Linked DNA regions of Drosophila melanogaster. The protein of the gene in region 1 interacts with the protein of each later gene in a biochemical or structural test. Each region holds a gene or a part of one and is shown in the gene's direction. Other genes may lie near its edges.

Region 1 (3,759 bases):
TTATATCGATCCACCTTGTGATCCAAATAATTCGGAGTTAAAGAATTAATAAAACTATGTGAAAGTTAAAGTGTAATTCTAGTTTTAAGAGAGGAATTAAAATATATATCATACATTCTGAGAGTTTTGATTTTTTGTTGCAGAAAGCTAACATAGTTGTTTAAATGCTCCATATAGGAATTCTCAATCTCGCGAAGTTCAGACAGGGCTCGAATGGAATTTGAGTATATTACTTCCTGTACTACATCATTTTCGGCTTTCTTTGCTTTGCAAACTGTGAATAGGAATAATAAAATCCAGTTCAGCAGAATATAATGAAATGATCTTAGCAACATTCTGCTGCGAAAACTATATTTTTTCATTTCCTAACGAAGATACTACATTTTAAATTGATTTATATCGCTTATTCGTCAGGCCTATTTTAAATGCTGCGGTGATTGATACACTTAAGTTACACATATACACTGTTTGTATATTTAGCTTAATATAATTTAGTATTTCCCTAACAAGCCTCATAGAACATATTTCATGAGTGATTCTTGTTTCAAAAAATAGTTGTAAATTCGCTTACTTCTTTTAACAGCGCTACACAACACTATAACTTTTAGCAAAGTTATACACCGCCATAATTTTATTGTTAGGTAACATCGGAGTTGTAAACCATTTCTGTTTGCTTTTTCGAAATTTGATTTCGAGTTTCTACACAGTTAGCCAAGACACATACTTTTCATGTGTAAGTAAAAGTAAGGAAAGTTTATTTGAAAGGCTTTATTATACATCAAGCAGAAACAATTTGAAATTATCGGCAGTTTTTTAAATAAATAATTTTTAAATAATGAAAAAGTATGTTAAATCCACTAAACTAACAATTCTTGAATTTAAGTCTATTTTAAAAATATACATAACTAGTCAAGGCAATCTAATGTACGTATTGCCATTCAGATACTCTAAAACGTAAGTTTATTTTGCTGACTAATCAAATTATGAAACAAAGGTAGGATTTATCAATCACTTAGACTTCAAGATTGCATAAAAACACACTCAAATTTTAGCAAAATATTATTTAATTAAGACAGAGGCTCTGACTCAGAGGCCAGAATGAAGAAACGAAGAGAAACTTGCATGGGCCAGCAAAAGATGTGCCCCTAGGGAAAACAACAATCAAGCAAATTCCACGTGCTTATTATGATTATTGTTATCGCTATTGAAAAGCGCTAATTGTGCGCAAATAGCGGTGCGAACTTAATGCCAACTTACCGAGAAGCTCACACATGCAAACCAAGCCAGTTGGAAGTGCAAGCATCGCAGAAAAGCAGAGGAGCAGCAGCTGGAATCCGGAGGGATATGGGGGATACGGGTGAAAGTTGGGCAGAAGATGCGCGGCATTTCGGGGTTAATTAGAATGGTATTGGAGTTGGCCTTTATTCTCCGCCGCCCACAAAAAAATCACCAATAATGTGTCACTTTCCCCCGGCAACATGTCGTATACTTCATATCGTCACGTGCATATGAAAATATTACGTCGGGCGGTTTATGAATGAAACATTTACTATTGCACAGCACCGTCTTTCGGCTGCCGGGCACCTTGACTACTACTGGGCTACAACCATACCCACTAGACACACTAGAACCACCCAACCACCACCCACTACCTTCGCAAGGCCGCAGGACACATGCGCAACGCCAGTGCCGCATTTGAATTTTGAATATGAGTTTTGACACTTGATTATCAGTTCGCGACCAGTTGTACGGGTGTGCGGACGTTTGGCCACGGCAATCGGCGGAAAAAACTTCATCCGCAGAAGCGGAAAAAATACATTTGCGCTGTTGCGGCGGAAGTTGAACTTCGGCCATTTGGGCAGTGAAAGTGGCAGAGTTAAAAATTAAAGTGGGAAATCAGCAAATATTCAAAAGTTTCGCACCTTGATTGCGGTTGAGTTTTCGGCTATGGGAAGGCGATTGCCCAGCTTTTGGCTGCTGCTCCTGCAGAGCGTGTGTTTCAGCCAGGCCAGCTTTTCGGAGCTAAACAATTGTAAGTGGATCGAGGATGTGATTAACTAAAGGATAAATAAATCTGATTGCTAATAATGAAATTAGTCAGAAATATAAGATTTACTTTGAATGAAATGCATAACCCATTAAATATTAAATTAAACATTTTAAGGATAGTTTTTCTCGATTAATATGACGTTTTTTGAATGTTGTACAATTAAAAAGTATCCTGTTTACAAGCTGAACTTTTGTAACCCGCCAACACGAAATGATGAACCCAAAAGTGTACAGCTAATTGACTGCAAACTATCTAAAGCCGGAGTGGTAGCGTATAAAATGGAAGGTAGCTGGTAATCGGAAGTCCAACGAGTCCATAAGTGAATAAACTGTGGCCAACATATTCCCCAGACGGGACAGACAGGATGGCGGTGATAGGGAAAGGGAGCGGGCAGAGGGGTTTCCGGTGGAGAGCTGCGAAAGAGTAACGAGGGGTAACTTCCGCTGGGGAAAATGTGCGCCGAATAAAAAAAACAAAACAAATTTTCCTTGACTTTGGCGAGCCAAATGCGATAAATATATCAAAATTCGACAAAATTCGCATTTAAATCAATGTGCCAGATGCAAAGTAAACATAAATATTGGCAGGCTAGCCGCAGCGTGCGATAAGAAAGTGAGAAGTGGCTCAAAGGAGTGATGATGCACCGCACCGCACGATGTTCCGTGCCAACCAACCAACTCCCACCACCCACCACCCACCGCACAGCGGGCAGGCAGACAGACAGTCGCGGAAAGGCGACGTTTTCCCACTTCCTATTGCACTCTGCGATATTTTCGTTTCATTTTTTTTTCTATTCCTGGCCGGCGGTTTCTGCCGCTGAAGTGCCGCGTTTTTCGGTTGGCGGTTGCGGGTGTGGAACTGCCACTGCAGTGGGTTATTTCGCAGTTTTTACTTAACTTTTTGGCAGACATTGCGTGCTGATTGTGATTGTGATTCCTTTCGCCGGCAGACAGCTGGAGTGTCTAACAGGAGACAGGACATTCACTTTCCGTTTCAAGTTCAAGTGGCGTGGGGAAAGGACACGGCCGGATTTGCAGCGACTTCGCGGGGAAAATGCGGCTTAAGTCCTGGCCGAGCGATTCAAGCGATTCCAGCGATACAAGTCGTGCAAGAAAACAGGAAAATATATTTAACAACTCATAGTCAATTTCCCCTTATAAAATGTGGCAACAACAAAGGCGGTGCGGTGGCGAAAAAGTTAAATGCTAAATTACGCTACCTTGCAGACATAAATAAAAGAAGAAAAGTTTAACTATATGAACACACATGTATGAGTACACTCAGAATAATTTCAAAAGTAGAAATCAAAAGTAAGATATTATACATAATTACTTACCTTGTAGTTTTGTTAGCGTTTTATGTTCATTGCTCCTTTATGCATAAAAAATCTAATCAAAATCTGTTGATGCAAATATATTATTGAAATTTTTGTTTTTTTTATATTAGTTCTTTAGCTTATTATACTTTTATTTCCAGTGCAAAGTACGTTTGTGTTTTATGGCTTAAAAAGTCTCGCTCGTCCCTTTCTTCGGAATGTTTCAATATGCAAACATGCAATAACCAAATTGCAATACCAACAAAAACAGAAACCATATCAACTGAAGGCAGTCAAACAATGGCGCCTCGTTCCCCACACTCAGAGCAACTGAAGGCGGAGCCTTCGGACTCGGACTCCAAAAAAAAAGCGCCCAACTTGCGGCCAGACCCAA
Region 2 (3,759 bases), on another chromosome or scaffold:
ATTATACGAAGAGTTGCAAAGTAATATACTAGGTAAAAACACCAATTTATTTATAAATGCGTACATATATTTGATTTTCTCAGGAGAGATTTCGTATATGTACAATAGAATTGGTATCTACACATGTGAGTGACTTTATTTATATTTCAAAGCACACAATATTTATATTGAAATTCTGGAATAACCAGTACTTCTGTATAATTTTATCAACAAATAGTAACTATGACACCTTGAGGTTTACGATTATTTATTTGTTATTTAATTTTTATATGTCATATTATTGATACTATTTATTTTCTATTTAGACACTGTTAAACCTCGAAAAATAGCACAAAATGCCTGGCGAGATAGCGTGTACATAATAAGAGAACATTATTTTCAGAAAAAAAAACATAAAAATATTTCGAAGTTCACGAGATATTATTTTTGAATGTATTTATGGTACAAGAGCATCCCGCTTGTGATCGACTAATGTGCATACATATACACGTTCTGAAAACAAACTCTTTACTTTTCTTACTTTTTAAGTTTATATTTACAAACAAGATTTGTACAAAAACATATGTATACAATTTCATAATACCTTGTTATCCCAATTGTCGTGCTTATACCGGACAAACCTAAATTCAATTGGAATTTGTATTTTCGTTTGCAATTAATGTACTGTTATTTAAGAATAATACTACTATTGCGGTAGAGCTGATGAGACATTACATTAGGTTCATGTAAATACCTTGACCTGAAATGGTGTTGCCTTCTATAAGGAAAACAAATTATACACTTTTGCAGATGTTTAGTCCGAAGCGAATAATTGGCCTTATGTATGTGTCATGCTCTGTGCAAGCTGCTAGTTGAAAAGTTATAGTTCTATCTGTGTGAAGCTACATTTTGAATTTAAGAATTGATTTTCAAAAGGAAACACCTAGATGTTAACAAGGACGGTGACAGTTTTTAAGGGAGCGAAACTGAACTTTATGTGAACTAAACTAACTTACACTAATTTTCAAACAAGTCAACTTAAAACTAAAACAAGAGAGAATGCTATAGTCGAGTTCCCCGACTATCAGATACCTGTTACTCAGCTAGTGTAAATGCAAACGCGGAATTTTATCATTTTTCTGAGATATCGATAGATATTGGGGAATAAAATGACAAAAAAATTAATAATAGTTAATACTATTTAATAATAATAGTAGAGTGGGCGTGACCGGTTTGGGGCTTTAGGGCGGGGCTAAAAGTTTTTTGGCAAATCGATAGAAATGTACAAGAATAATAAAATATTGGAACAACATCCAACAATTTTTTTAAAATATGGGCTGTATGTTAAATCTCTACCTTCTTGGTTTTATGGTTCCTGAGATTTCGGCGTTCATACGGATAAGGCTAGATCGACTCGGTTTTTGATCCTGATCAAGAATAAAAATGTATATAATATAATAATATCATATAATTTATGTAGCCGGAAACGCTTCCTTCTGCCTGTTACATACTTTGTAACGATTTTAGTATACCCTTTTACTCTACGAGTAACGGGTAACGTTTCCTTTTCTATATCATTTAAATTTACGAGTAACTGGTATAATAACTTATGCATTTTTTTAGGATAAATTCACAATGTATGCTTACATTACCATTACCGTTTTTGAGAATGTAACTGTCAGTAGTAACAAATTTGTTCGAAATTTAAGGGGTAAAGGTGCTATTGTCACGTTTATCTGATCTCAGTCTCAAATTGATGTGTACCATTTGTATTCCGCCCATTGCTTATATTATTAAGCCGTGTTACTGAGTCTTAGCAATAAAAGGAAACTAGAGTACTTAGTATATGACTTCAAAATGTTAAAATTAAAAAATATATACATACAAATAATTATAACCTACGCAATCTATAAATATATAGAATCTATCCTAAATTGTAAGATAACACATATGTACATATGTGACAATGGGCATGCGCGAATATTTTCAGGGTTGCAGAATATTAAAAATCTGTATACAAGTCGTCCTCACAGAAACACTAAAACGTGCTGCTTAGGGGTTGTTAGAGCTTACCGTTGAAATAATAATTGTCGATGCCAACGAAATAAGTGTAAAGACTAAAAAAAGTATATAAAAATTGAAGCCAGCAAGTATAATTGTATGTATATTAAAAACACAGATCTAAATACCGAAAAACAGAATATTATTTGAAAGTCCATTAAAAGGATAAAAAATCGATGCCGATACAAAGTTGTTCTCAATAAAAATCTTGCGCCAATACGTGCTCTCGCGTGTGCTTAATATCTAACTTAATTATATACTTAACATTTATTATAACTACATAGGTATATGGAATTCTACTCTAAATAATGCATATCTGTGAAAGACAAATGAATTAAAGCAACATGTCGCGTGGCAAACATGCCACATTCTTGAATAATTCGCCAATTAAAATCAAACCATTCATTATTTTAGTCTTGAATTTAAATATATGGTGTCAATACATTAGTGCAACTTCATATTTAAGCCTGAACGGTAAGATACATTTTAAATTAAAAGTTTCCCACTAGAATGATAAATATATTTTTACCCTTGCGGGATTTTTTTTTTAATTTTGGTTGGACCCATTTTCTTCTGCAACGTGTAGAATGAAAACATATAATGCATTCCTGAATACGAAGACAAAAATTATACATGTATGTACGTATTGTACTTAACAATATTCAATTGTGAAATTATACGCAAAAGTATTATGTTTAAAAAGCCATTGTATTTAAATTATGCTAAATTTAAATCTAAAAAATAATCTTAATATTGCATTTTGCCCATAGTATTTTTACCACCTGAAAGCTTGCTTTGCAAAACATCCTTCGAGAGGAGCTTCGGTTTCTAAAAGATGACAACAGTTTCATGTCTCGCCCCAAGCTCTTTCACCAACAAGTGTAACCACTCTTTATGATCGACCTATCGCAAAAGATTTCGCGCATGTATATATAGTTGTCGCAAGCTCTTAGTCTTGACCGACACTTCCGTCCATAAAAAGATCGAAACTTTAAATTAAAATGTTTAGCTTCTAGATAAGGGGCATATAAAATTATTTTTAGTTTATACCTGCAAGGGTATATACGCTTCGGCTTGAATAATTTAGCATCCGTTTTCGTTTAACATAAAATACAAATTCATTTTAGACCTAACCAATTTGGAGCGACCTTTCTTTGATGATATTAGCCCAAGAAATGTGTCGGCCGTAGTCGACGAAATCGCAATATTAAGATGTCGGGTTAAAAATAAAGGAAATCGCACGGTAAGTCATTATGGGTTCTTTCTTTTATTCTTACACATAGGATTATATCGAAACATTTTTATTCGTTTGAAGAGCACATTCGGTCACATGGTAAAAAGTACGACTGTACGAATTAGTGACGGAAAATTGTTTGAGGGGGAAGTAACCTTAAATTTCAAACTAAACTTGGGGACACACCAGGAAAACGTTTTATTTTTTAAAGGCAGTTTTCTCCCAAGGATTGCTAGCTTGCGCTGTCTTTTCGCTAGCCCTTTTCAACTCTCCTCCCAAATCTACGTGGGAACTTGCCTCCATTTCCATCGATCAAGCTTGTTTCGAGGCCTGTTCTCAATTTGAAAATGTGAAAAATTCTTTTAAGTCTCATGTTTCTCTAGCAAGCTTGCCTATATCTAAACAAATAGGATTAGGAATAAATGATTACATTTTGAAATAGTGAAAGGGTTATCAGATAGCGGAGGACTTAACTTTCCCTTGTC
Region 3 (3,759 bases), 4.3 Mb from region 1:
GACCAATACGTGCCCAATTCGTCTGGCAAAATCGAAGCTTTTGCCGCTGGCGTTAGCGATTTAGCCGCCAGCAGCTATGAAAAGGCTGCAGCGCTCATCAAGGAAAAGGTGCTTGTGTAAGTATGCCTGCCTGCCTGGCCTTTGTTGTCTTTGAGAATGCATCCCTTATGATTGTGATCTTTGTTTAGTGGCCGTCTCTCGCCCGAGAACATCAATCAGGCGCTGAACCAGACGCGTAACGCCGCCCTGGAGTACTACAACCAGTTTCACAAAAAGGTCGACGCATACGCCAAGCTCAAATGATTTTAAGCGTCAGGAACGCTTACTTCTCGAACAGCAACATCATCAGCAGCTGCAGCAGATGCAAACAGAATACGCGTCATAGTAAATAGTGAAGGAAGCCCTAATTTTTCGCAAAAAGTTAAAAAACCGGAAAATGTTCTATAAGTCGAAACTCAAGAAGTCATTCACATTTATCAACAACTTCTCGTCAAGTTTAATTAAGAAAAAGCAATACGAGCAAATCTTTGTGGATGCCGATAGTACACTAACAATCTAGTAAATTCAACCTCGATACTGATAAATTAGTGAAAGACACGAGAAATTTTCTGTTGTAAAACATGTGTTTAAACATTTTTCTCCAAGTTGAGAAAACATTATTTTTAAATTCGTTTACAACGGCATGAGAGTTTTGTGAAAAGTTCTACCATTGAAATTTTGTAATTGTAATTATTAAAGTGCGTTTTTTGTGGCGATGCGCGAAGTGTTAACTCTATTGTGTTAACTGAACTTAACAATTCCAACTGCATTTTGAAGGCAAACAATAGATTCAAATATTTTTATACTTTTATTCATAGTTTTCTTGCATTTGTGTGTACATTTCTGTAGACTCCTCCCCAATACTTGCATAATAGCGCGATACTTTTGATTTGATTTTAAATCTCATTTGTATATTTAATGGAAAACACGATTTTGCATAAATAAAATAAAATTGAAAGATGTGAAGTAAAGGCGTATTTCTCAATGTTTTTCTGTGCTTGATTATGTTTTTGGGGGCATATTGATGAATCGTAAGATTCTGAACACACCTGTTGGCATTGGCAGCATGGCTTGCACTACACACTTGTTTAAATTGGAAAAGCGGCTTGAAAGCAGTTTTTATTTCCCAAAAGAGACTAGAATTTAGATCAGTAATATTTCCTGGGCAATTTTTCTAGAACAGTTCTCTCGAAACTAAGCAGTTCAAATGTTTTGCAAGCAGTCCAAGAACTAAAATTTCCCTAGGTTTTTGTTACCCATATAAGCAGTGAAGAGAAATTCCTAAGCAGTGTATCATAATTCAAAGCAGTGCAAACAACAAAAAATTGTTGCGTATTTGAAAAATAACACCTTTAAAGTTGAAGAAGTTTTAATTATATTTCTAAAATATTTATAAGCTTTGGTATCTTCATGAAATGGCATGATTGGATAGAATCTTTTCCTAATTGGTACAACAAAGTAGGGTTCTCATTATAGTTGCTTAAATTCTCCCCGCAAAATTTCCCTTTTAGACGTTCATCTTGGAGACAGTCGCCCCTTCAAATACAAGGATTTTCCCGAATTCGCCGCAAAGTCACCCGTTTTCGGAGTGCGGGAGTGACAATAACAACCAACTCGTCGTCCTGTTCGTGGCTGGCAGGACTCGGTTCACATCGGAACGATTACTTGCAGCGCGGAGGAAACAACAATACGGAAAAGCTCCGGCCTCGGATGCCGCAGTATCAAATGAATTTCAAGTCGCGGCGCACGTGTTTCGTCCTTTGGCGCGGATGTGACTACGAGTCCTTATCGCAGATTGTGGTCCTGGCCACGAAAGGATATCTCGTAGTTGCCGCATTCGATAGCGGTGTCGCGGTTTCCCAACTTTCCCAACTGCCGCATCTGTTTTTTCAACTTGTGCGCGAGACGACACTAAGATCGTTCGGCTTCGATTTCGCTCAGTGTATAATGCTCTTGAGGCAAAAGTGAAGTTTCGAATTGGAGGCCGCTTTATGCGGCCAGTGAAAGATATTGTCCCCTGAATTAATTGTCTGTTAAAAACTAACATTGGATGTTTAAATGGTTAAATTCATGGGAAATATTCGCCCTGCTGCTGCTGACACCAAAATTGAGTCGAATAACAGCTTTAAGTACATTAATATTAACCCACCCACACTGCTCTTTCGCATTCAATGTGGCTCGATTTTCCCTCCTCGAAAAGTGGAGCACAGATAAATCAGAGAAAAACATTTATTTCTCATCGGAAATGAACTCGGACGGGCGACGTGATTTAATGCCAATCGAAAATGCATTTGTTACTCAGGTTTCTTGCAAATTATACGCTTAGCGATAGGATTGAAACACAGAAAACAAAACACATTTTTTACAGACTTCAACTGAAACTCCAGACAGTTGCATAAACAACAACCAAGAGTTTCGTGCAAAAATAAATGTTAAATCAAAGTTTTTCCAAGTTGAGATGGAAGTTTTTCCAAGTTCTTCTTCGCCTTATCTGCTTTTGAAGTTCACTCGCATTTTTCCTCTGAAATCCAGGGCAGAATGAAAAATCGGAAATATGTACCTAATGAGCACGTGTGTTACGGATTGACTTTGAAGTGAGTCCTCATTTCTAATGAGTTCTTGTGGTGATATGAAGTAGGAAAGGTAATTAATTCACTAAACCACAAAAAAGTTAATGAGGTGATGCGGAAAGGTCAAAGTTGTTCCGTCAATAAATAAACTTTCCACAGACAGTCAATAATTGGTGTAGTTTTGGACTTTTAAAACTTTTGCAAACATGTACACATCCATTTGTTAGCACTGGCTTTGATTTAAAGCATTTTTTGCACATATTATACTATATAATAAAGTATAATTACATTTAATATTTAAGCAAAAAGGCAAAAGGCCGACCTTGTTTTAGTAAAAACTCGTTAAGTACGACAGTAAAAAAAATTTTAAGGAAAACTTCTTGGACAATTTGCCAGCTGCCTTTAAAAGGACTCGACAAAGGCCAAGGACCTCGCAGGACTCTTTGCATGTGGCATTAATTAAGTGCCGCTTGAGGGAATAGTATTAGATGAGCTTGTCTCTCATTAATCTTATAACCTTATAAAGAATGGCTTGAATAGGGAATAGCAGTATATACATATGTCCGGGGACAGCCCCCAAAAAAAGAAGACATTGAAATCGAACCGTTTTCCTCGCTCTTTTGGCCGCCTTTCGTGTTTTTCTAATTGAATTTTCTTTCGAGCTTTATGCCTTGACTTTTCTCCTTAAAGATCAAGTGGTCTCCAGGTGCTTTTGTGGCTTTTTGGCCGGGTGTCCAGGTGATTAATGTGCAACCAGGTTTGCTTAATTAACTTGCATTTATGCCTGAAGTACACAACGGAAGACAAAAGCCAGTTGCTAAATTTGATAAGTGGGCTTAGTTGAATTTGAGTGACTCTGCCATAGAAGTACAATATATATCATTAATTAACAGCAGACTGTACTTGTGGCACTTAAAATGGACTAGCCTAAAATTATAAATGCATCATTATCGCGATGAAAGTTTGGCATTAAATTATCCAAAAAGTAACAATACATATCCAAAACCACTAAATTCAATTAACCAACGATGCCATGAAAATAACAATTGCAGTGCGCATTTTAAGCTGATTCCATGTTAATTTTACCACCATTGTTTGATTGGCATCGCAACAAACAACAACTCATTACACAACTCCAGCAACGGTTGAA

The links.
Region 2: the proteins of DIP-iota (region 1) and dpr7 form a complex in vitro, tested with the Drosophila melanogaster proteins (one study listed by BioGRID).
Region 3: the proteins of DIP-iota (region 1) and dpr2 form a complex in vitro, tested with the Drosophila melanogaster proteins (one study listed by BioGRID).

What each region holds. Positions count from the first base shown.
Region 1 is NT_033779.5:6,619,699-6,623,457, reverse strand, and holds the start of DIP-iota (Dpr-interacting protein iota), read left to right. Parts: upstream 1-1,757; 5' UTR 1,758-1,947; coding exon 1,948-2,032; intron 2,033-3,759. Other genes in the region: CG34345 (uncharacterized protein), read right to left, coding at 1-54, 115-335.
Region 2 is NC_004353.4:251,579-255,337, reverse strand, and holds the start of dpr7 (defective proboscis extension response 7), read left to right. Parts: upstream 1-2,008; 5' UTR 2,009-2,137; exon of another isoform or gene 2,138-2,324; 5' UTR 2,325-2,384; coding exon 2,385-2,514; intron 2,515-2,626; exon of another isoform or gene 2,627-2,627; coding exon of another isoform or gene 2,628-2,679; intron 2,680-3,167; coding exon 3,168-3,283; intron 3,284-3,759.
Region 3 is NT_033779.5:10,962,149-10,965,907, reverse strand, and holds the start of dpr2 (defective proboscis extension response 2), read left to right. Parts: upstream 1-1,754; 5' UTR 1,755-2,682; intron 2,683-3,759. Other genes in the region: Tmem214 (transmembrane protein 214), read left to right, coding at 1-116, 189-303.